Linked DNA regions of Xenopus tropicalis. The protein of the gene in region 4 purifies or fractionates together with the protein of the main gene of each other region. This does not show direct contact. Links are inferred from orthologs where the notes say so. Each region holds a gene or a part of one and is shown on either strand. Other genes may lie near its edges.

Region 1 (5,912 bases), on a different chromosome or scaffold from region 4:
AGACTTTATATTTGCAAATGGGTAAGGGCTAATACACTGTGGAGGCAAACATCTTAATAATACCACTTTGCCTTCCCCAACTAACTAATGGTAATTATATTGCAAAAATTAGTTGTCCTACCAAAGTCCACCGTCTTCTCCAGTGGTAACAGGTCGCTGGATTGTCCGGTGCCACCACTCTCTATCGGTGAAAGGTTTTAGTTTTAAGAAACATATTAGAGACCACAAGTCCTTCAAAGAGTTCTGAATAGGAGTGCCTGTTTATTAAAATAAAAATGCATTATGCCTATTGGCAATGTTATTTAATATAAGAAATCAAAGAAGCTATTCTGTGCAAAATGACAGAAGATATGCATACCTTTGTGTAACATTCTCTTCTATTTATACCTGTAGCATTACACAGCTAGCTAACAACCATGAATATTCTCTGTGAACAAATTTCACTGTCAATGGTAAAATATAGTATCAGTGCTCCATACATTCAGAATGAGAGTTTCCATTTACTGCTCAAAGCAGTCATCTTATTTTTTTATGAAAGACAGTTACTTTGCCAGCAAGCTAAGCCTGACTCCCTGTAGCTTACATAGTAATTGCCCAAAAGGGCAATGGTCAAAATGTCCCAGAAATGTTTCTATTGGAACAAGAGAGGGTGGCGTCTGCTGTTAAAGGAACAGTAACACTAAAAAATAAAAATGTTTTAAAATAATTAAAATATAATGTACTTTTGCCCTGCACTGGTAAAAGTTGCATGTTAGCTTCAGAAAGTCTACTATAGTTAATAGAAATAGCTGCTGTGTAGCCATGGGGGCAGCCATTTAAATTGAAAAAAGGAGAAAAGGCACAGGTTACATAAGAAGATACCAGATAAACTGTGGAATCTGCTACTTATCTGTTATCTGCTTAGTAACCTGTGCCTTTTCTCCTTTTTTCAATTTAAATGGCTGCCCCCATGGCTACACAGCAAGGTATTTATATAAACTGCAGTAGTGTTTATGAAGAAAACACACAACTTTTACCAGTGCAGAGAAATAGTATATAATATATTAATTATTTTAATACACGTTCATTTTTTGGTGTTACTGTTCCTTTAAGATGTACCAGGACAAAACACTGAAGAAGGGGTTGAAAATATAATCTAGCACACGCACCCTAGGCTGTATATGCCTGACTGCACAGGCTAGGGGGAAAAACCTACTGAATAGCCCTATGGTGCAGCCCTGCCTTAAGGTGGCGAGGTCGCCAAGCGAGCAGATTGTCTCCCAATAACAGGTGGACAATATTGGGCTAATTGCTGAGGTTGCCAAGTGAGCGGATCGTCTCCTAATAATGGGTGGACGATATTGGGCTAATTCGTTCGTTTGGCCCTAGGGCAGGCATAGGCGCCGCCGGTTCGAGGACCACATCAACAAGCCCATATGGTCCCTGATCCGTAATGAAATAGCGGGCATAGGCATACATCTGGGAAACACATCAACAAGCCAATGTGGTCCCTGATCAGAGGGAAAAATTAAATCTGCCCGATCGGGATCTGCCCCATTTCAGGCCAGATGTCGGTTGGGGAGGCCAATAGATTAGCTGCCGTTATCGGTCTAAAGGACCGATATCAGCAGCTGAAATTGGCCGGTGTACCTTTGCAGTCAGGGTAACATGAGCAAGGTGAGACTGGAACAGTTAGAAAATGGAATGTTGCACCAATATTAGTCCCCCAACTCTCTGCAGCTTCTAAATAGTACTGATCATGTCACAGAACATGTCTTCAAAAGCACAAATTGACTGATAATCTAATGTAAATAAAACTGTTCCAGCTGGAACACAATTTGCCAGTTGTCAGTCAAGGATTAAACATACACCGCAGGTGCAAATGCACAATCACTCAATAAAATAGTGTTGAGACCCAAATGGCCTAATCAAACCTGCCCGATCGAGATCTCCCCGATTTCAAGCCAGATGTTGGTCAGGCAGGCCCATTGTTTGTACCTCTACATGGGCAGATAAGCTGCCCAATCGGTCTAAAGGACAGATGTAGGCAGCTAGAATCTGCCCACCTATGGCCACCTCTACTCTGACAACGGACTCACAGAGAGATCAGTAGTACTTACAGCTGACTATCAGAAGCTATCATTGTTTACTACAGGACAAATATGCTACATCACCCACAGAAGCAAAGATAACTGTTACTAGCCATTTCCAAGCTACCATTCTCCATGTGTTTAACAAAGATGTTTAATATATTGGGTCTGAGAATAAAATGTTTGTAATTGCTGAATATCATATTTATGTTACCAGTTAATATCCATCTTCTCTGGGCTTCCAGGCTAAGTACAGCTTGAGTTTGCTGTGCATTTGGATTTCGTATAGTGTGCCCTTCATCCAACACCACTCGCAGCCATTTCACTTTGTGCAGAGGGCTCTCACTCCTGCTCTAAAAGAAATAAATAAATCCCTGTTTAATGAATTTTAAATGCAAATGTAGAAAAATCTTAAGGGTTTTAGGCAAATGTGGGCTAGCCAAGCTGAGCTGAACAATGGCTAGCTTTCTTATTAACAAAAGATTTAAAGTTAAGGGGAGGAGATGCAAAAATTGTTTCTGAGAGCATCAGTGTAATTCATAATATAGTGTTTAATGAGGTGCCTTAGGCATAGGGCTTCTTTACAAGCATAAAGGTACAAAAGTAATTTCTCACTAAAGTTTCTACTCTCCCAAACACTGATAGGTTTTGTCTGGCCAGACTTTATACACAAACCCAGGGAAAGTGGCAACATACTTACTCCATAATCAGAACTTAGGACACTGTATGTGGTTACTACAACATCTTGGTCTGAAAGGACTTTAGGGTCTTTTGTACGTTCAGGACCGTAATAAATATAAATATTCAAATGCACCTCTGGTTTTATATGCTGTTCAAACTGATCCTAGAACGATAACAGGAGTTAATGAATATTAATGGCAAAAAAGGAATCAAACATCTTAGAAGTAGAGACAAGGATAGGGTGGGTTATCAGTTACCATCAGAGATTTATGCAGCAATCTATAGTTAGATAGATTGCTAGATAGATAGCTGGAGAGACACTTATTGCAATGATTTCTTATATGACCTGCAGCTGCTCAAACTGTATTTACAGCTGTGCATTAGGTTAAATGACCCCCCATTTTCAGGCCTTGAAGAGTGCTATAAACATGCCTTCGTTTTCCAAGTGGTTTATGTGAATTTTAACCCAACCAACTCTAAGGAAACAGAAAAAAAACACATTTTGCACGGCTGTCTAAATACCATCAAACAGGAGCCAGATGAAATAACCTACAGGACCCTGACGTTTGGAGTGCTAGGTTTACAATGGCTGGCCACTGCGTTGGCCCAGGTGCAGGCCAATGAAGTGGATTTTGGAGCCAAAAAGGAGATTTTGTGATACTCACCGTTAAAATCCTTTTATCTCTGGAAGTCTGTGGCACACAGGGACCATGGGTTATAGCATGTACCAGCAGGAGGCATGAAACTAGAAGAGGAAGAAGAGGACAAAACCCCTCCTCCCTTCTGCTATACCCCCCTTCACTTCCTGCCTTAACCAGTTTTGTTAACAAAGAATGATCAAGATTAACAATCAACTATTAACTATATACATGTAGGCAGAGAGAAATCTGGAGAATCCGCTTTCGGGGGGGGGGGGTGCGTTGCCCAGTGGGGAGGAAAAATGGGCACATAGAGGTAGGCATCTTTGATGTCCAGGGCCACTAGAAACTCTTTTGGGTTCATGGCTGCGATAACAGATCGTAGAGACTCCATCTTGAAGCGAGGGAATAGAATGAACGCATTGAGTTTCTTCAAGTCCAGGACGGGGCGAAAGGATTCTTCCTTTTTTGGGACAAGGAAGAGGTTGTTGTAGAAAACTCGAAATTTGTCGCTTGGGGGTAGTGGAATAATCACTCTTTTGTCTAATATGTCATGGACAATCAAAAGGAGTGCATTTTGTTTGTGGGGATCCGGAGGAAGTCGTGACATGAAGAACCGATTTTGCGGTTTTGAAGGAAATTCGAGACGATAACCTGAGGTGACTATTTTGTGTACTCATGGGTCTGTGGTAAAACTAAGCCACGGGTCTCGAAAGAGGAGAAGTCTGCCTCCGACCGCAGCAAGATCTCCATGAGGATAGTCATGCTGTTGAGGTCTTATCTGCTCTGCCAGGAGTATTTGGGACGGCCTTCAAAGCGAGGCTTGAAGGAGTTTTGGGATAAATAATCCCTAGAGGATGATGCCTTTGAAGATCGTTAGCAAAAGAAATGTCCACAAACGAAAAGAGGTATGATTATTTGGTTGTGGGAGGAGAGTGCTCTTTCCCGCGGTCGCCTGGCTGATGATCTTGTCCAATGAGATGCATCTGTGGAACGCATCGGATCCTGTTGGAGACCTCTGGGTCAACCCCTGTTGCCAGATTGAATCTGGCCGAAGAAAATTCAGATGAGTGAAGTTGATCTTGTCTCCTTGTGGGACACTAGAAAAAAATTGGTTAAGGCAAAAAGTGAAGGGGGGTATAGCAGCAGGGAGGAGGGGTTTCATCCTCTTCTTCCTCTTCTCGTGTCCTGCCTCCTGCTGGTAGATGCTATACCCCATGGTCCCTGTGTCCCACAGATGACTGTAAGAGAAATGTATACTCACCACGCTTCCATGATGAAGCTCTGCTCTGTGTGCATGCATCTGGCCTGACACAGTGACACAGTTAGGGGCATAGGGCCAGATTCTCAGCCTGTGTTTATTTTATGGTGTGGCACTAGCCTAACAAATTTAACAGTAGATATTTCATACAAGGACAGAAACCTATCCTTTAGTATATATATTTAGTATATATATATATATATATATAAAGCCATGGAATATAGGAAATACATACAATCCAGTTACTTAGAACAGATAATGGACATATTATAAGTGTTGTTCTTCGTTGTCCTTCTGGTCCAGCCTTTGAAATGGACTGTGAAACTGTGACCCCTAAGAAAGGGAAAACGTATTAGCTGAATAAAACCTGTATGGAAGTCTTAGCATTAGCACTGATAATGAGGCTAACTATGAAATCGAATAGTCACACATTGAAGTATACTGGGAAAAAGGTTACAATGAGGTCATATATTATACAAATATGGAATCCTTTACTGGTACCGACATCTCATAATATGTTCCCTCATCAAATATGGATTTAGAATACAAGCTGTACCTTTTTTGTTTTTCTTTTTCCGCACTGCAGTTGGTAACCCAAAAAGAGCATTAGCAAACAGATCATCATCATGGAGAGTGCATTCGGCAGGAGCTGTATTGCAAAATAATTTTGTATACACAAAACAATATCTAGTGAATTTACTTACTACTAATAATCTTTTGTATGATGCTAAATTTTTTATACCTACAAAAAGTTTAAGGTCAAGCATTTCCCTCTGCTCTAGATTTATTACATTTTAGCTAAGGGCTGATTATCTGATCTGCCGTGTAATAAAGGGGGTTTATCTGAAGCTGGATTCTTTATAAATGAACTTTAAAATGACTGGAAGGCATGTACTGGTTTAATGATCTAAACTGTGTAACTCTGAGCCAAGAAATTAAAATGTCAGTCCAATCTGCATGCAGCATTTGTTTGAGCGTGGAGAGAGCTGCTGCCAACACTGTACAAATAGAAGTATAAATATGTTTAACAGTGTATGCTTTGAGTATAGTCACAAAGAGCACAGTAAACATGAAGTGCTGACAGGAGATGGAGAAAAAGCCTCATCAGTAGAAAGAGGTTAAACAAGGAACTTTTGAAAACAATTTTAGCAGCCAATGAAAACACGGAATACAAAGAACTTTTAACAGAACTGCTGTTAAATAAAAGCAATAGCTTAGGTATGTTATGTGATCTGTATAATTAAGAACGACCGCTTAAACCAT
Region 2 (6,345 bases), on a different chromosome or scaffold from region 4:
GCCCAAAATTATGATAAGCAACATCAATACAGTCAGTAGTTCTTTCAATCTAATACAATGTAAATAGAATTGCTCTAGTCAGGGCCGCCATCAGGGGGGCACAGGGGGTACAATCGTCCCGGGCCCGGATGATTTTAACTTTAAAAGGGGGCCCGGCCGTGCTAAAGTTTTCCCCTTTAATCAATTCCGGGCCCTGTCATTGGTGGCCAGCGGGTAATCCTATTGGTTGCGCCCCGTGCGTACATGTACGTCAGTACGCACGGGGCGCAACCTTATAAAAGGGCCTGTCTTCTGTCGGCTCTCAGAAGCGCTGCGGTGTCATCCAGGAAGGACCTTGCCGAAGCCACCGCGAAGGAGCCGCTGCCGCATAAGACACCGGAGGAGCTGAACAAGACGCTGGCTACCAATGTACTGGGGGAAGGGGGGCACAGCTGGCTACAAATGTACTGGGGGAAGGGGGGCACTGTTGGCTACCAATGTACTAGTGGGGCACTGCTGGCTACCAATGTACTAGGGGGGGCCCTGCTGCCTACCAATGTATTAGGGGGGCCCTGCTGGCTACCAATGTATTAGGGGGGCCCTGCTGGCTACCAATGTATTAGGGGGGGCCCTGCTGGCTACCAATGTATTAGGGGGGGCCCTGCTGGCTACCAATGTATTAGGGGGGGCCTGCTGGCTACCAATGGCTCATGTCTGTGAGTCCTTTGTACTGGTGGGAGGGGGGCCCAGAAATTTTTTTTGTGAGGGGCCCCGTGATTTCTGATGGCGGCCCTGGCTCTAGTGCCGAGTTAACATTATTTAAACTTTACTCACGCCAATGATATTAGGATGGCTTAACTCCTGCAGCAGCTTTATCTCTCTGAGTGCTGTTCTGTTTATACCTGAAATAAAAACAAACGTCATAAGAAGACTTGTAATCTATTCACAAAAATTAAACCATGAGAAAAAAAAAAACATGAAAAAACCATGAAGCAAAAAAAAGGGCACCAATAAAAATAAAACCAGGGCAACACTGGTTCAAGTGCCGCCATATTGACATTCTAGATCTACCCCTAGTAATTTACTTTTCTTATGGTAGAAATATATGTAGCTGGCTAATAAGCACTTACCATCTTTAGCCTCTGCTCTATGTCCCAGTTTAATCTGCAACAAGAAAAACCACATGTGCCTTAATAGAGCTTAGAGCCATAGATTCTATGTTTTCTGGTTCAGTCTTGCCTATGCCTATAAACGTGAATTAAAAAAAAACAGATTGCTGCTTTACTAAAACAAACAAACAAACAATATATATATATATACACATATACACACACACACAAACATTTGATACAGAGATACAGGGGATGGGTATGTATTATCATCTGATAATATACTAATGAACACAATACTGCAGCCTATTGCTGTTGTGTTAGTGTTGTAATAGTATATACCCTCTCTCTTGTACCATTTCCTCCTTCGGTGTTGTTCGCTATTGTTGACATTATTCTGGATGTGTATAATTACTGTTGGGTAGGGCCACCTGAGATTTAATGTGGGTGTTTCTATGCTGCCCTGTACAACCCTCCTATTATACAAGATGGCTGCTGCATTTATACACGTTACAAGATGCTATCAGTCTCCAATATTATAGTCTTTTACCCTTTTACCCTTATTTACAGTGTGGGCATGGCAAAAGCACAATTTGTTTGCGACATTGAACATGTAACATATAATGTGCAGAACATGCAGGGTACATGACATTAATAAAGCATTTAGCTGTGAATAAGAAAGCAGTAAGAAACATACCTTTTTAATGGCCACAATTCTATCTGTATTCTTGTCTCTTGCTTTATAAACTGTGGCAAACTGAGAAACAGAACATTTCAGAACAATATGAGTGGGAAACAGTTTCCTGTCAGTTCCTATATACACCTCTCTACTCTGTCACAGCAGAGCCAACACTGACGGGACTGCCTGAGCAGCTTTTACTGTCACTGCCATTTATGAAACCTGCCAGAGTTTAAGGGAAGATAAAACCCAAACATAACAATTGTGCCAAAAAAGTACAAGTACAGCACTATGTAATGCCAGACTAAAAGCACTATGTAATGTCAGGATACTACAGGTACAGCACTATGTAATGCCAGACTAAAAGCACTATGTAATGCCAGGACACTACAGGTACAGCACTATGTAATGCCAGGATACTACAGGTACAGCACTATGTAATGCCAGGATACTACAGGTACAGCACTATGTAATGTCAGGACACTACAGGTACAGCACTATGTAATGCCAGGACACTACAGGTACAGCACTATGTAATGCCAGGACACTACAGGTACAGCACTATGTAATGCCAGGATACTACAGGTACAGCACTATGTAATGCCAGGATACTACAGGTACAGCACTATGTAATGCAAGGATACTACAGGTACAGCACTATGTAACCCCAGGATACTACAGGTACAGCACTATGTAATGCCAGGATACTACAGCTACAGCACTATGTAATGCCAGGATACTACAGGTACAGCACTATGTAATGCCAGGATACTACAGGTACAGCACTATGTAATGCCAGGATACTACAGGTACAGCACTATGTAATGCCAGGACACTACAGGTACAGCACTATGTAATGCCAGGATACTACAGCTACAGCACTATGTAATGCCAGGATACTACACCTACAGCACTATGTAATGCCAGGATACTACAGCTACAGCACTATGTAATGCCAGGATACTACAGGTACAGCACTATGTAATGCCAGGGTACTACAGGTACAGCACTATGTAATGCCAGGATACTACAGGTACAGCACTATGTAATGCCAGGATACTACAGGTACAGCACTATGTAATGCCAGGATACTACAGGTACAGCACTATGTAATGCCAGGATACTACAGGTACAGCACTATGTAATGCCAGGATACTACAGGTACAGCACTATGTAACCCCAGGATACTACAGGTACAGCACTATGTAATGCCAGGATACTACAGCTACAGCACTATGTAATGCCAGGATACTACAGGTACAGCACTATGTAATGCCAGGATACTACAGCTACAGCACTATGTAATGCCAGGATACTACAGGTACAGCACTATGTAATGCCAGGATACTACAGCTACAGCACTATGTAATGCCAGGATACTACAGCTACAGCACTATGTAATGCCAGGATACTACAGGTACAGCACTATGTAATGCCAGGATACTACAGGTACAGCACTATGTAATGCCAGGATACTACAGCTACAGCACTATGTAATGCCAGGATACTACAGGTACAGCACTATGTAATGCCAGGATACTACAGGTACAGCACTATGTAATGCCAGGATACTACAGGTACAGCACTATGTCATGCCAGGATACTACAGGTACAGCACTATGTAATGCCAGGATACTACAGCTACAGCACTATGTAATGCCAGGATACTACAGGTACAGCACTATGTAACCCCAGGATACTACAGGTACAGCACTATGTAATGCCAGGATACTACAGGTACAGCACTATGTAATGCCAGGATACTACAGGTACAGCACTATGTAATGCCAGGATACTACAGCTACAGCACTATGTAATGCCAGGATACTACAGGTACAGCACTATGTAATGCCAGGATACTACAGGTACAGCACTATGTAATGCCAGGATACTACAGGTACAGCACTATGTAATGCCAGGATACTACAGGTACAGCACTATGTAATGCCAGGACACTACAGGTACAGCACTATGTAATGCCAGGATACTACAGCTACAGCACTATGTAATGCCAGGATACTACAGGTACAGCACTATGTAATGCCAGGATACTACAGGTACAGCACTATGTAATGCCAGGATACTACAGGTACAGCACTATGTAATGCCAGGATACTACAGGTACAGCACTATGTAATGCCAGGATAAAAGCCGTAAAGCAGTATCCAATTACACGACATTACATACAGTGCCACTAAGCATCTCTGCGCAGTAGTAAAGCCCCACGTGTCCCACAGGGACCCGGAACCCCACGCAGCAGCACCCACCTGGCCTTCCCCCAGGAACTCCAGCTTCTCATACTGCTTGGAACGGGAGCGCACATCCACCCCTCTCGCCATTATCCCCTCCATTCTCCGCGCAACCCTTTCCCACAGGTCACTGTCACATCGCCATTTAACACTTTGGCCACGCCCACTGCATGCTGCTACCGGCGCGACGGGAGCGCGAATGTGACGTAAGAGGCATCTGGTTTCCTACAACTACCGGTTGCTATGGAGATCCCTGCTACAGGGGAGAGGCGGGAATTGTATGGTGTCAGTGGCAAATACCGGTTGTTCCTCAGAAGAATTCCTTCTCTCGAGGGTAACGGTTTATTCTGTACTAATGAGCCGCCCCTGGCTGGGACGCAGCCCCCCGCCCTTAGGCGCTGTAGCCAAGCAACACTGTATGTTCTTAGCCCTTTCTCCTTTGGTCCCGGCGCTAAAATCAAGTTGGAAAGGTGAATGCTGTGAGCACGCCATAAGGGCACTTCTCGGATAATACTGAGTGCTAAAACTCTCCCGCAATAAATAATGGAGACATGAAATGCTTTGCCAGGAGCTCATTCTGTGAGGTGCCCATTGTGCAGCCAAGTTACAGCCCCTGAATAGAAAAGCCTCAGCCACATTTTGGGATATATAATATGCTAAGGCCAGAAACAAAAGCTTTATAAGACATGACATGAGGGAGATAATGATTCCACTCCAGGCCTTTTGAGACCTTAATTCAAATGATCATCTAGGGGCATATTTATTATGCTGTGTAAAAAACAGCGAGAAAATTCACCACACTTCGCTGTGTAAAACAGGCGGGAAAAAACGGCGTCATTTTTTACGCGTTTTTTTTTTTTCACCAGAACTTATGGAAAATAACGGCGTAATATCTGGCGTTCAGACGGCGATCTTTTCCATTTATTTTACACAGGTTTTTACTCAGCGAGTTAGTTTTACACATAATAAATACGTCCCTTAGTGTGAAACTGAATTTGGTCCAAAAAAACAGGACTGGATCATTATCTCCAGAGCTGACAATTTTTTTTATTCCGCATCTAGGGGGCTTTGCGGCGTGCATAGAGCACCACACAATAATTGACTGTAGTGTGTGTGTGATATGGACCTTTAGAGTGTAAGCTCCACTGGGGCAGCGACTCATTTTTTCAATAGCCACTTAATCTTCTCTATGTTTTGAAGTGCAGGAAGGAAACTGGAGAACAGAGAATTCTCTGTTAGTGATGCCGGATATGTATACATTATGAATAAAGGATAATGATATATATATATGACTTAGTAAAATATATAGTTATTTGTAATTATATGATAAAATAAATCTAATGAAATAATTTGCTCCTGTTGTGTTCCACATTATAATTAACTTAGAGTTGGCGCTTCTCACAAATTTACAAGTACTCTATATGCATTAAAATCACAGATCACTTTATTTTCTCAGGTAACAGGTGTATAGATACAAAGACAGTTACGTTCTACATAGAGCAGTTATATTAAAATGATGTGGGTCTTTCTACTCTCCCAAACATTTAAAATACACCTTATATACAATGAGATTCCACACCTTAATTTAAATACCGCATAGTATAGATACAGGGTACATCTAAATTAGGATTTCCCAGGAATATAAAAATCCTTCATATTAATCACGGTTCTATATTTACCTACCAAATAAAATGATTAAGACCACCATATATCCAATGACCGAATGTACCTTAACAAGGGAATTGGTCTACTTGGGTTTTATTCCCACATGGAATAAAACAAACTAAAATGGAGGTATCCCCAACAGTTAACTACAACTCCTATTAAAGGAAAAAGAAAGGTAAAGTCACTTGGGGGTGCCAAAATGTTAGGCACCCCCAAGTGACTTTAACCGCCTACCTTTTACCCCGGGCTGGTGCCGCTGTCAGGAGAAAACAGCACCAGCCCGGGGTAGCTGCCGGCGCTTCCTCCTTCCGGCTTCGCTGCGCGCGCATGCGCAGTAGAGTGAAAAGCCGAACTTAAACATTTAAGTCGGCTTTTTCGCTCTACTGTGCATGCCCGGCCACCGGCAGTTTAGGAAGTGGAAGGCGGAAGGAGGAAGCGCTGCGCTCCAGCTACCCCGGGCTGGTGCTATTTTCTCCTAACAGGGGCACCAGCCCGGGGTACAAGGTAAGCGGTTAAAGTCACTTGGGGGTGCCTAACATTTTGGCACCCCCAAGTGACTTTGCCTTTCCTTCCCCTTTAATAGGCTATGAGATTGTCCAGGAACTTACTCAGACTCAAGTAGGTATCTTTCCCATATACTGTTCTCTCCACACGGTTGTTTCTT
Region 3 (6,361 bases), on a different chromosome or scaffold from region 4:
AATGCCACACGGGCGTATTTTTGGCAAGCTGAAAAACGTTTGCCGAGAATACGCCCTGCTACTGTCGATTTGGCCTACCTTGTGCCTGCACCCGAATGAATGGAATACGCTCCAAGACTTCATATTTTCGGCTACATGTTCCTGCACCGTATCGTATTTCATTCATTAGGGTGCAGGCACAGGTAGGGGCATTTTTTAGCGTATGGTGCGTATTCTTAGCAAGTGTTTTTTGGCTTGCCGAAAATACGCTCCATATGCTACATGTGGCGTTAGCCTAAGATTTAATCAAGTAATCCAGGCAGAGCATACTTACTGAGTTGATCTAAAGCAGATGGAGGCATGATAACTGAAAAAAAGAAGAACAAGAAAAGTTACAGTAGTATAGTCTGTGACACACCATACACTATACACATTACTTCCAGTGACCCTTTTTCAAAAATGAATAAAGAATCACTGAAAGTGCTCCACTTTTTAAAGACTGAATTATCTCCTTTGACTAGAATTTTTGTTTTTCCTCACTCATGAAAGGACCAGTAAAACAAAAAACAAGAAAAGGTTTTATCTGTATGTAAATATAATATACTATTACCCTGCACTGGTAAAAAGTGTATGTTTGCTTCAGAAACACTACTACAAGTTATATGAAGTATATGGCACAACCAAAAGAATAGGGTAAAAAGGCACACATCTACACAGCAGAGTACAATGGTGCTGTTTTTACACAGCATAATAAACATGGGTCAAATGCCATTCATTCTTTCTACAGAACAATTGATTGAAAACCTCTTATATAATATAGAACCTATAATACTTAATGCTCAGGACCAGGGGTTTTTCCTGTACAAGCGGTCATTGTGTAATTTGGATCTTCATGCCTTAAGTCTGCTCAAAATGTATTTAAACATAATATACCAAATAGGATTGTTTTGTCTCTAATAAGGTTTGATTATATCCTAGTTGGGATTTAGTACAAGTACTGATTTATTACAGAGAAAAAGGAAATTATTTTCTTAAATTTTAATTATTTAATTAAAATGCAGCCTATGGGCCTTGCCGTAATTTAGAGCTTTCTGGATAACAGGTTTCCGGATAACGGATCACATACCTGTACTGGATATGTGTGGCCAAGAATTACCATTGTGTCCACTTTCCACATCCTGTACAGTTTGCATGATGGTACATGATGATAACAGAGATCTCATGACCTGTGACCAGGCCTGGACTGGCAATGTGTGGATTCTGGCAAATTCCAAAAGGACTGCTGTTAGATGCCATAGACAAGCACTATTTAGTGAACTAGCAGGGGCCTTGAAATGCAAGGGCATATATTAAATCCCAGTCTGCTTGTGGCCCACAAAAAAGTGGTCTAGTTTATGATTATTAGATATTATTACCTATGTTTAAATAATTTTATCTTGAAAAAATTACAGTACAGCTCTTAGTCACATATTACTTACTTTTCCCTCCTTTCTCCACATCAGATCGGTCATTGGGACCCGCCAACATGGAAACGGAGTAGCAACGGTACTGAGTAGAGAAGCGGTTTTGGAAAACCCGGGGTATGGGGTGGTCAAACATGTTGAAAGAAAACTAAAAGAGAATGGAATTAGTGAGATTTTGGAGCTGTTATTTCATTAAGCAACATAAAGATACATCGTGATAATTTGAGAAATTCTTTTTTACTTTGTTTTTACCCTTTTAGTGTTATTTAAGTGATCTGTAAAAACAAAAACTATTACGGAAACATACATTCAGATTAAAATCATACTGTTATTTTTCATGTAAAAAAAATCTTACATACAACAACTCTTCTTTCCCATCCAAGATGCATATAGCAGTAAAAAACTAACCCCTCAGTCACTGTTCAGCCTCCATAAAACCTGGCAGGTAAATGGTGTTTTATGATGATATATAGGTATACATGACATGACGCTATCACAAATGTGGAAGACAGATCTTACCATTTTGTTACCGGCTTTCTCTTATTATCCCGGCGGACCTAACACTATCTTAGTCACCGTCCTTCCCGGAAGTAAATATAATTGCGAATCAGACGATCGGAACAAGAGAAACTACGAATCCCAAGAAGCAACACGCTAAAAGCGGAAGTTAATAGACCGCTGTCAGATATCGGGAAGCGACCAATTGGCTGCTAAACTGTAGGACGCAGAGGCGGGGTTTATCTTGCGCTGAGCCTTCACGGATTGGGCGGGGTTGGTGTATGTCACGACGAAACGGGCTGTTTGATTGGCCACCGCTGCTCTAAGGGATTTTGGCGCCAGTTTCGAGGGCAGCCGTCAACTTGTCGAGATGTTTGTGAGTGATCTCCGTAAAGAGTTTTACGACGTGATCGTTACCGAGGTGAGAAGGGTAACCGGGATAAAGGATTTTTTTTCCCAAATAAATGATATGACACCACTCACTGTCTCTTCTCTGATTTCCAGCGCGTTCTTCTCCTTGTTGCACCTGATGTTGATGCTCTCTGCGCCTGTAAGGTACTTCAGGTAAGAACAAACCAAAATTAAGTTTTTTTTCAACAATTTAAATCACCATACCTACTTAAAACAACATGTAACTATGAAATAAAGCCAATAGGATTGCTTTATCACTAACAAGTTTTTATGCAGCTTAGTTGCTGTAAAGTACAAGATACTGTTTTATTACAGAGAAAATGTAATTAAAAAAAAAGATTTTGCATAAAATTGACAATGGGAGATTTCTGCATATCTGGTTTCCATTAAACTCACAGTGCCCCTTGCACAGATCCGACAGTATAAACACTTCATCCCCACATATAAAGCTGGTCATACCACCTAGTTTGCCAAATGAGTGGATCTTTGTCCCATATGTCACAGCACCACACTGATTGTTAGGCCTTCGACCAATGATTGGATCATAATGGCTGCTAATGCAGGCTGTTGGGAGAGGTCCACATCAATACGTATGTGGTGCTCTTCCCAATGGGTTTTTTTTTTTTTCTACACTGCCTAATATGTTGGCCAGGTAAATATCAGGGATGAAGTCGGAGAGGACCCATGTACCGGTAAATACAACTTATTTTATTTCCCACCAGATAATGTGCATGGTACCAACAGTGTTGCAGCTCTTGAACCATTTAGGGTCTGCTACTAAAACACTGTTACTAAAACAATGTAAAGTGTACTAGTGAGTATAAGTTACCAATGATAGAAAAACCTAGAAAGAAGGATAAATATTTCATTTCTGAAATCTGAACACTTGCCCCAAGTTGGTTCTATTATTCCTCCATCTCCAGCCTTTTGCCCAAATGAAAACATTTTATAGTGTAAAATTCTTGTGAAAGTTTTGCATTTGCTACATATAAATAGTGCATCTGTGTAATGGTGGATACTATGATTTAACTTTTATTTTTACCATAACTACGTAGTCATATTTTTTGGTTTTGGTCAAATGCACCTTAGAAGTTTAGTCCAAACCCTTATTAGCACATTTACAAAATATTGCAACAATTGTGAACAAATATTTGTTCTATTCAATTGTCCAGAGTGGTAATGTGCTTGGTCTTAAATTTTCCAATTCTTCCCCCTTTATTAAAGGAACAGTAACACTAAAAAATGAAAGAGCTTTAAAGTAATAAAAATATAATGCACTGTTGCCCTGCAATGGTAAAACTGGTGTGTTTGCTACAGTAACACTACTATAATTTATATAATAAGCTGCTGTGTAGTCATGGGGGCAGCCATTCAAGCTGTAAAAAAGGAGAAAAGGCACAGGTTACATAGCAGATAACAGATAAGTTCTGTAGAATACAATAGTGTTTTATCTGTTATCTGCTATGTGCCTGTGCCTTTTCTCCTTTGAATGGCTGCCCCCATGGCTACATAGCAGCTTATTTATATAAATTATAGTAGTCTTTCTAAAGTAAACACACAACTTTTACCAGTGCAGGGCAGCAGCACATTATATTTTAGTTACTTTTATACACTTTCATTTTTTGGTGTTACTGTTCCTTTAACTCAAACTGCCCTATCACCTTGGCTGATATCATAACATCGGGCAGTGTGCTCTAGAAACACTATCCCATCAAAGATGAAGACCAGGTTTCTAGAGCCCAGCTGCTGGACAGTGATAACCTGCACTTGAAGTAGTGAGCCATTTTTTGGGCCAAACCAGCTCTTTAAAGTCATGTGATTTTAATAACCATTTAGTTTAGGGGAATTAAAAAATCTGCAAACAGTGCTAGGATAATCCAAAATCCTGGATTTGGTGCATGCCTCTCCTTAATGCATTAAAGGTACCTGCCATTTAAAAATCTAGCACCAAAAAAGCATAAAATATGTAGTCTTAGCACTTTAAATATAGGCTGAAAACTGTTGATTTTTCTTAGTGAACTGGTAGACTATTTAGCATTTTTAAGAAATTTAAAAATGTCTAAAAAGTAGTTTTGTTTTTTTTTTCTCATTTTAAGTGTATGCTGGCCAAATTACCCACCAAGTAAACCCATCATTTGATACACCCTGGGTGTACTAGTAAAGGGCAAACAAGTGCAAGATCATTTGTATTATACGACTAGTCACAAATGTTTAAAGTATTCTGGATGCATGGACATTAATTGATGTTTTAGGAGTTTTCTTTAAAGGACATGTAAACCCCACGCACAAACAGCCTCTTAGAAATCTTTTTTTAATACCTGTCACACTGGTTGTCCAGAGGTTAATAGAAAGGCTGCAGCATCCCATTAATCACTTAGATTTCCTTCTCCTCCTGTAACCCACTCAGCCCCCTCCCTCAGAGATTTGCTTTGACTTCTGGCTTGTGGGCATGCTCAGTTGTTCTAAGCTCCGATTACCAAACACGCTCTCCAGTCTAGCAGCCAATGAAGAGATGGCATTTCTGGGTCCCATAGAAGCTCAGGTCTAGCTGTCTGCTTCAATGTTTTTCTTCTAACCTCCTGTCCTGAGCTCAGCTTAAACAAAGCAGAACTTTTATCGAAGACAGTTCTGCCTGTGTGAGCCTGTATTCTTTATGAAATGTATGCTGAATTCGGGTCTGTGTGTGTATGTTTGCAGATATAAATGTATTTGATTATGTATCAGGAAAAATGGCCACTGGGTGAAAGCTGCTATTTGCTTTAGAAAAAATGTAATTGTGCTGATAAACAGAGGGGGATATATGCAGTGCAAATTATGCCATTTGGGTGGGGGAAGACGTGCCCACCTGATATATATTGTAGGCAAATGTAGGCTTTACATGTCCTTTAAGAATCTGTATACAACTAAATTGCCCCCTCCCTCATCTGCTATGTTGGACTGTTTTAACAATCAAAACAAATCCGGTGTAAGCAAAGCCTTAAATGGGAACTCCATTTTAAAAGTATATGTACATTTTAATATTGAAGCAATATGCCTTTTTATATTTTTTTCTGACTTATAAGAACTTAAAATAAAAATAAATTAAATAAAATCTTGATCTCCTTACAGACAAAGCATCAGTTCCCATAGTGTAATGCAACAATGCATTGTGGGAGTTGGTGTCTTAGCTGGAGGAACGGTGACTTGCTGCATTGTTTAAACTCTAGGGACAAGAACAAAACTTTTAGACAGATGATGCGTGCAATATCATTTAATTTAATTGGATAGCTGCTAAAAATAATTAACTATATAAGGCTGCACAATGACGCTGAAACCCCCTCATGTAAACAGAGATATGATTTTTGTATTAAATGTCTTCTCTGATAGCTTAACCAGTGTTAATCTTTTTTGTGCACAGGCATTATTTCAGTGTGATCATGTACAGTATACCTTGGTCCCAGTCTCTGGCTGGCAGGAACTTGAAACATTGTTTCTTGAACATAAAGAACAGGTAATCTGTCATTCTTGTACTGTTTCTTTTCCAATTCTCATTTTATAGCATATGTAACCTCACCAGTGCTAGGTGTCTAGTTTGGCTGCATCTTATATCTGTTATACAGTCTGCAATTTTATTACCCATCACCTTCTTTCCAGATAAGGCCAGAGGTGATTTTAGTTGCAGGGGCAACTAGCTGTACATCCGCTTTCAGCATCATTCAACTTACGGCAGAAGTTTATAAATATAATATCAGTAACTGTGGTTTAGCTTTGATGCTCCTTCTTAAATGGCCAGTGGCACGTTCAAATAAAAATTCCCTGAATGCAGTTATACAATGATGTTTATTTCAAGCATTATCATTCATCTCATGCATTATGTAGGGGATCTAATTGCTTAAAATGGGATGGCTTAGCTACAGGAATGTAGCTAAAAGGAGTGAAGAAAAGCTTTCTAGTACTAGTTCTTAAAGGGGTTGTTCACCTTTGAATTCACTTTTAGTATGATGTAGAGAGGGAGATTCTGAGAATTTGCA
Region 4 (6,494 bases):
TTAAGTAAATGTGCCCCAAAATCTTAGTGCCATAATCTTGACAACTAAAGGCAACAGTTTTTGTCCACCTAATGCTTTTTTTAGTCAATTCTGCCAAAGATAAAACATAAAAATTAGAAAATATATTTGATTCATTATTTGGTTAAATCGTTTGTGGTATGTACCAAAATAAAAAATAATTGATGGGTAGTGTATACCTGCAATACAGTCTACAGTTTTATGTTTTTATATTACTGACTGTGGCTTCAGTTTGTTCACTCTGTCCGTCATGCTTCTCTATCACACATTTATCACACATTTTATGTATATATATATATATATATAACTTTATTACAAGGGTACGCGGCGCTGTACAATCTTACAATATACACAATTACACACAGGGAGGACAAGTGATCCATACCCCCCAACTGTCCCGCTTTTCGCGGGACAGTCCCGCTTTTTATGGCGCGTCCCGCTGTCCCGGGTAGTTCCATGAATGTCCCGCATTGCGGGACATTCATGGAACTATCCGGCACAGCAGGATGCCCTTGCTGTAGCCGGATGTTCTTGCTTCGTCGGCTGCTTTTTATAATGTTGCGCCTGTGGGTGTGACGTCATTACGCACGGGGCGCAACCTTATAAAAGGACCTGTCGCGCAGCGCAAGGAGAGGCATAACGAAGCCACAGACAAAGCGCCTATGGGAGGTACTGTGTATAGGGGGCTACTGTGTATTGGGGGCTACTGTGTATTGGGGCTACTGTGTATTGGGGGCTACTGTGTATTGGGGCTACTGTGTATGGGGGGCTACTGTGTATTGGGGGCTACTGTGTATAGGGGGCTACTGTGTATTGGGGGCTACTGTGTATTGGGGCTACTGTGTATGGGGGGCTACTGTGTATTGGGGCTACTGTGTATGGGGGGCTACTGTGTATTGGGGGCTACTGTGTATGGGGGCTACTGTGTATTGGGGGCTACTGTGTATTGGGGGCTACTGTGTATTGGGGCTACTGTGTATGGAGGGGCACTGTGTATTGGGGGCTACTGTGTATGGGGGGCTACTGTGTATGGGGGGCTACTGTGTATGGGGGGCTACTGTGTATTGGGGCTACTGTGTATGGGGGGCTACTGTGTATTGGGGGCTACTGTGTATTGGGGGCTACTGTGTATGGGGGCTACTGTGTATGGGGGCTACTGTGTATGGGGGGCTACTGTGTATGGGGGGGCTACTGTGTATGGGGGGGCTACTGTGTATGGGGGGGCTACTGTGTATGGGGGTACTGTGTATGGGGGGGCTACTGTGTATGGGGGTACTGTATATGGGGGGGCAAAACTGGTACTTAGTTATAACTCACTGCCTTCTCTCTATACTTTTTTTCCTTAGGTCATTCAGTATGAGGGTATAGCACATTTTCGTCTGCACTGCCATTTTATCTGTATAAAAGGGGTATTTTTTTTAAATGGGGTGTGGTAATTGGGGCATGGCCACAAAAGGGGGCGTGATCAAAAAATTTGCCAAATCTTTTTGTCCCTCTTTTCATTTTTCAAATGTTGGGAGGTATGGTGATCTAATAAATAAATATATATAAATGCACAGGGAGTAAGTGCCATGTGGTATGAGACACAGTAGTAATGAGGTCCCTGCCCCGTAGAGCTTACAATCTAAGTTTATGGTACATTTATGGTTTAAAATGTTTTTTTTTTTCATTTGCCTGATGTTGTTTGGTTATTTTACTATAGCTTTATGCATTTAAAGCTCTATCAAATAAATTTTCGGGCAGCTTTAATATTAATAACTAACTTAAGCTGTTGCTCTCCAGATCCAGACAGATGATACACATACCCACAAGATAAAAAAAAAAGTCACCAAATGCGTGAAAAAAGAATAACAACATCCTTCACAAGCTTCAAAAAACACTATTATGGTTATTTATGACAGCAAATACGAAGACATTTTTAGTTAAAAAGAAGCCTTAGCCCAAATCAAAAACGGCTATTACTGTAAACGTTACAATGCGCCGCCAGTAGTAAACATGGACGGCTCTCCTGTGACGTCGTTTCCCGCGACAACATAGGCAGCTTCCAATATGGTCTCAGCCACCGAATTACGGAACTGCAGCAGTGGTTTTATTGGCTGAGACGGCTGAGCATATCGTGGCCTTCAGATTTGATTGGCTGGGCTGTGGAGCGCGCCAAGAGTCCTTGTCAGGAACAGCGGAGATAGAGAAGTAGCAAAAGAGCTGCAGAAACATGTGGAACAACCACGGTAAGGGTATTAGACAAGTAAAATAGAATGTGCAATATATATATTGCGCTATTTTTGTGTTTAATTGCGTGGTGAAAGGAACAAGGCGTTGTAGTAATACTTCGTCAGGAATGATGAAACATATTCGGTGCGCAACGAAATCTGGTTAGCGTAGTGATGCTGCAACACTCAGTTAAATGTATTAGTTCTAGTGGCGAAGCATATTACTGCGCCATGAGTCCTCTTCTGAACGAAATAAAAATACAAAGGTGGGTATACACGTATATGGCTCCTTGTGTAGGAACTGTACATTAGGCCCATGGGCCGACAGGTTGGAGGACTCTAGGATTTGGCCCATTTATAGTTGTGGCACTATCGTTGCAGTAAAAAAAAAAAGTTATAGAGGGGTATTCAAAAATAATATTTTAAATATTGTATTTACCTTTTAACTCCTATAAGGAAAACATATTTTACCTTTATCCAGTTAGGATTTTAGCTGTCTGTATGGCTAAACATTAGGCATGATTATGTATTATTTGGATTACTTTCACTTATTTGTAAGCCTAGGATAATAGGGAGGGGCGTACTATAATTGTTATCCTTTATTTTGTAGCACTGGCATATTCCACAGAGATTATACATCAGACCCTGCTGCAGTGGAACATACAATACATGTTTTTATTACATTAACATATATTCTTCGAAATTTTATAAGGACCCAATTAACCTGCTTTTTTTTTTTTTTTTTGTCGCAGGTGGATTTGATGGTGGGTATGGTGGCTCTGGCATGGGAGGAGGAGGTTATATGCAGTCTCCAGGAGGCTTTGGGTCTCCTGCACCCACTCAGGGAGAGAAAAAATCGGTATGTTGCCTATATTATAATATCAAATTGCACATTTGAATATCCTTTCTAAATTTCTCTAGGGCCTGATTTAATAGATGCTGATATGATTTAGCTTTAAAAGTACTACTGATAACATGACAACATTACTGTAATGGGATCTCTTATTTATAAATCCAGAAAAAATATTGAAATGCTATATTCCATAGGGTCCTCTTAAATAATTGTTTTAATTTTCTTTATTTATTTTCCATAGAACTTTTGGTTCAATTCCATTTCTTTTTGCTAGTATTTAGAAAGTAGGCTTAATTGATGTTGATATATTTGCAAGATATAAGCTGAGGTTTTCTTGGAAAATATATATTGTACTGTAATTATTTTTCAGAGGTCCAGGTCACAGCAAATAGTGCCATGTACTGTGTCACAGCTACTGTCAGCAACACAAAATGACGAAATGTTTCGGATAGGAGAGGCTGAACTTTCACAGGTTAGTATCACTCACTGTCTCGTATGTATGTATATATGTGTATGTATGTATGTATGTATGTATGTTTGTGTGCGTGTATAATAGCAAACTAACTGAACAGTTATGTCTCATGTCTCCTCTTCTTCAAGTTGCTGGCTATCAAACAGGTTAGAGAGCTATAAAGGAGGAAGTTGTGTTCTGTCTATTATGGTAGTCATCTATTCACTCCAGCCTTTATAGCAGTGTTCCCCAACCAGTGGTTAGTGAGCAACATGTTGCTCACCAACCCCTTGGTTGTTGCTCCTCATTGGCCTCAAAGTAGGTGCTCATTTTTGAATTTCTGGCTTGGAGGCAAGTTTTAATTGCATAAAACTCAGTGTTAAGTGAAACAGAGCCTTCTACAGACTGCTAGCCAGCAAAGGGGCTACCAAATAGCAAATTATAGCTTTTGTACCCCCAAGAACTTTTTCTATGCTTGTGTTGCTTCCCAAAACTCTTTTACCATTTGAATGTGGCTCACAGGTATAAAAGGTTGGGGATCCCTGCTCTATAGATTAGGTTTTTGGCTAACTATATTCTGCATAGCTTTTCTGTTTTATTATATTTATAGCCAGTTTTATTTTTGCACTGAACTGTTCCCTTAAGATCAGCACACATTTTTTTGTCTACTTATTGCTGTGTGTAGGCAAAATCCCTTCACCCTTATCTGAATGTGCCTGTTATAGTAAGAGATCAAATTGTCATCTTTGATAAGGAAAACCATAGGTTACTTGGAATGCAGTTTATGTTTATATCCTAAATCTTAGGTACAGGTATGGGACCTGTTATCCAGAATGCTCAGGACCTGGGGTTTTCTAGATCTTTCCGTAATTTGGATCTCCATACCTTAAGTCCGCTAAAAAATTATTTAAACATTAAATAAACCCAGTAGGGTTTTTTTTGCCAGTAAGGGTTAATTATACCTTAGTTGGGATCAAGTACAAGGTGTTGTTTAATTATTACAGAGGAAAAAAAGTTTTTTTAAAATGTGAATTATTTCCTTAAAAGGAAGTCTATGGGAGATGGCCTTTCGATAATTCGAAACTTTCTGAATAACTGGTCCTATGCCTGTATTTCTTTTTACATCTCACTCGAGCCACTGTTTTGCAGTGGTCTTTGTGCTACCTCAGAGAACAGATAATGCAGGTTCTAACTATAACAGGAAGAGGTGTTTTGGTAAAAGACACAGCTCTTCCCCTTCATTGACTGATGTGACTTAGAACACGTGCATGCCACTGTTTTTTTGTGTGACCCCCAGTGTATCATATGAGTTGAGGTGCTTTATAAGGAATTATCCATGTGTTGTGTGTTGAATAGTTGTATAGGTATAGTTCCCCTTTAATATATGGTCCTGTTATGCATAACCCCTTAATATTATTTCGCTTGAAAGAAGAATAGTGATCCAATAAATACCTTTTTACTAGTCGGCTATTGGGAAGATTGTGCATTTAGGTGCCTATATACCCTTGGTGGAATGTGAACTTGAAATACTTTGTTGTTGTTCAAAGAGGAACCAACAAGTAATGTAATGTGCACCATATCTCTTGAAATAGATATGCCTATGCTAATATTTTTTTTATGAAAGTATGTTTTTCTTCTTTTTTTTTTTTTTAGGTTACTATAGTCGGCATTGTCAGGCATGCAGAAAAAGCTCCGACAAATATTCTTTACAAAGTGGATGATATGACTGCAGCACCAATGGATGTCAGACAGTGGGTGGACACAGATGTAAGATATTACTGTCCTGTTTCAACTAGATTTCTTTATATTTAAACCATGGACAATTATATAACTGCTTCTAGTTTTACCACTGTAAAATGTGCAAAGTCCCAATCATTTTCTTTGCAGGAGGCAAGCTGTGAAAATATGGTGGTCCCTCCAGGGAGTTATGTAAAAGTAGCTGGTCACCTTCGTTCCTTCCAGGTAATTATTTTAATGAAGCTTTTACTTCTGGAACAACATTATTTTTGTTAGAAAATTTTCTTCATGAAAGCACTAGCTGTCCTAGTGAAAATACTGTAGCAAGGCAGAGCAGAGAATAAAATTTATATTTAGCCAAAAAAGAAAATGGAGGACTGGAAAATGTCACTGAGTATTTAAAATTTGTATATCCTTCCAGAACAAGAAAAGTGTTGTTGCATTTAAGATTGCTCCTGTTGATGATATGAACGAGTTTGTTTCTCATATGCTGGAAGTTGTTCACGCTCACATGACCATGAATTCCCAGGGAGCGGTAAGTTAAAATTAACTCTTTACCCTGCTCTTAAACAGCTGGTTAATAGGCAGAATTCAAAGTAATGATCAGGGAAGCATACTTGTAATTTCTAGTCATCTTTTATTTTTGTTTATAATTTGCTGGTTCTCTGGTAAAATCAAAGAAAGGTAAAAACTAAGTAAGCTTTAACAGAAAGGTCTATGTAAATACACTTCTCTGAAAAAAGATTAGTTGTGTCTGTAATTCCTGTGCCAGAGACACGCAGCTTTCTGTTCTCTGCTCTTTCCTGCTCCCCCTCCCTCAAGAATGCTAAGAACTCACTCCCCCCCCTTAGGAATGTGGATATGAGCCAATCAGCAGGACGCTAACTTACTAAGTTAGTCTAAGTCTAACTAACTGAGCATGTACAGTTTGTTCTGCATGTCTGGGCAGGAGTGAGCCATTATGGGAATCTTTTTTACACAGCTCAGCGTTTTTTCTTCCGGTTTGGCTTCAGATCTTCTGAACAGGTGAAATATGGGGAAACTTAAAGGAACTGTAACACAATTTTTTAAAATTCAAAATATCTTTTTAAAATACTTTTATTAGAAAATATATCATGGAAAAATTACAAAAGTATAAGTGGTTTTCTTGAAAATTAACCTTTCCATTAATTTATTGAACTCAGGCAGCAGATCTCCTCCAACTCTCGTAGCAAGCTTCCGGGCA

The links. Proteins that work in one complex are often made in the same cells at the same time.
Region 1: the proteins of rpa2 (region 4) and hltf purify together in Homo sapiens (affinity purification with mass spectrometry, with the first as the bait; 3 studies listed by BioGRID). This does not show direct contact. The link is inferred for Xenopus tropicalis from reciprocal best matches to the Homo sapiens genes RPA2 and HLTF.
Region 2: the proteins of rpa2 (region 4) and cdk7 purify together in Homo sapiens (affinity purification with mass spectrometry; 3 studies listed by BioGRID and IntAct, with this or other methods). This does not show direct contact. The link is inferred for Xenopus tropicalis from reciprocal best matches to the Homo sapiens genes RPA2 and CDK7.
Region 3: the proteins of rpa2 (region 4) and cdc45 purify together in Homo sapiens (affinity purification with western blotting; 3 studies listed by BioGRID and IntAct, with this or other methods). This does not show direct contact. The link is inferred for Xenopus tropicalis from reciprocal best matches to the Homo sapiens genes RPA2 and CDC45.

What each region holds. Positions count from the first base shown.
Region 1 is NC_030681.2:122,179,396-122,185,307, forward strand, and holds part of hltf (helicase-like transcription factor), read right to left. Parts: intron 5,299-5,912; coding exon 5,206-5,298; intron 4,983-5,205; coding exon 4,885-4,982; intron 2,914-4,884; coding exon 2,770-2,913; intron 2,423-2,769; coding exon 2,284-2,422; intron 258-2,283; coding exon 122-257; intron 1-121. UniProt on the Homo sapiens protein: Has both helicase and E3 ubiquitin ligase activities. Possesses intrinsic ATP-dependent nucleosome-remodeling activity; This activity may be required for transcriptional activation or repression of specific target promoters.
Region 2 is NC_030677.2:186,232,136-186,238,480, forward strand, and holds the start of cdk7 (cyclin-dependent kinase 7), read right to left. Parts: upstream 4,166-6,345; 5' UTR 4,119-4,165; coding exon 4,035-4,118; intron 1,846-4,034; coding exon 1,786-1,845; intron 1,144-1,785; coding exon 1,110-1,143; intron 882-1,109; coding exon 814-881; intron 1-813. UniProt on the Homo sapiens protein: Serine/threonine kinase involved in cell cycle control and in RNA polymerase II-mediated RNA transcription. Cyclin-dependent kinases (CDKs) are activated by the binding to a cyclin and mediate the progression through the cell cycle.
Region 3 is NC_030677.2:154,229,574-154,235,934, forward strand, and holds the start of cdc45 (cell division control protein 45 homolog), read left to right. Parts: upstream 1-2,196; 5' UTR 2,197-2,310; coding exon 2,311-2,361; intron 2,362-2,444; coding exon 2,445-2,504; intron 2,505-5,748; coding exon 5,749-5,841; intron 5,842-6,361. Other genes in the region: ufd1 (ubiquitin fusion degradation protein 1 homolog), read right to left, coding at 314-346, 1,458-1,590, 1,962-1,964. UniProt on the Homo sapiens protein: Required for initiation of chromosomal DNA replication. Core component of CDC45-MCM-GINS (CMG) helicase, the molecular machine that unwinds template DNA during replication, and around which the replisome is built.
Region 4 is NC_030678.2:79,454,042-79,460,535, forward strand, and holds the start of rpa2 (replication protein A 32 kDa subunit), read left to right. Parts: upstream 1-2,203; 5' UTR 2,204-2,230; coding exon 2,231-2,246; intron 2,247-2,980; coding exon 2,981-3,087; intron 3,088-3,451; coding exon 3,452-3,553; intron 3,554-5,185; coding exon 5,186-5,299; intron 5,300-5,419; coding exon 5,420-5,494; intron 5,495-5,690; coding exon 5,691-5,804; intron 5,805-6,494. UniProt on the Homo sapiens protein: As part of the heterotrimeric replication protein A complex (RPA/RP-A), binds and stabilizes single-stranded DNA intermediates that form during DNA replication or upon DNA stress.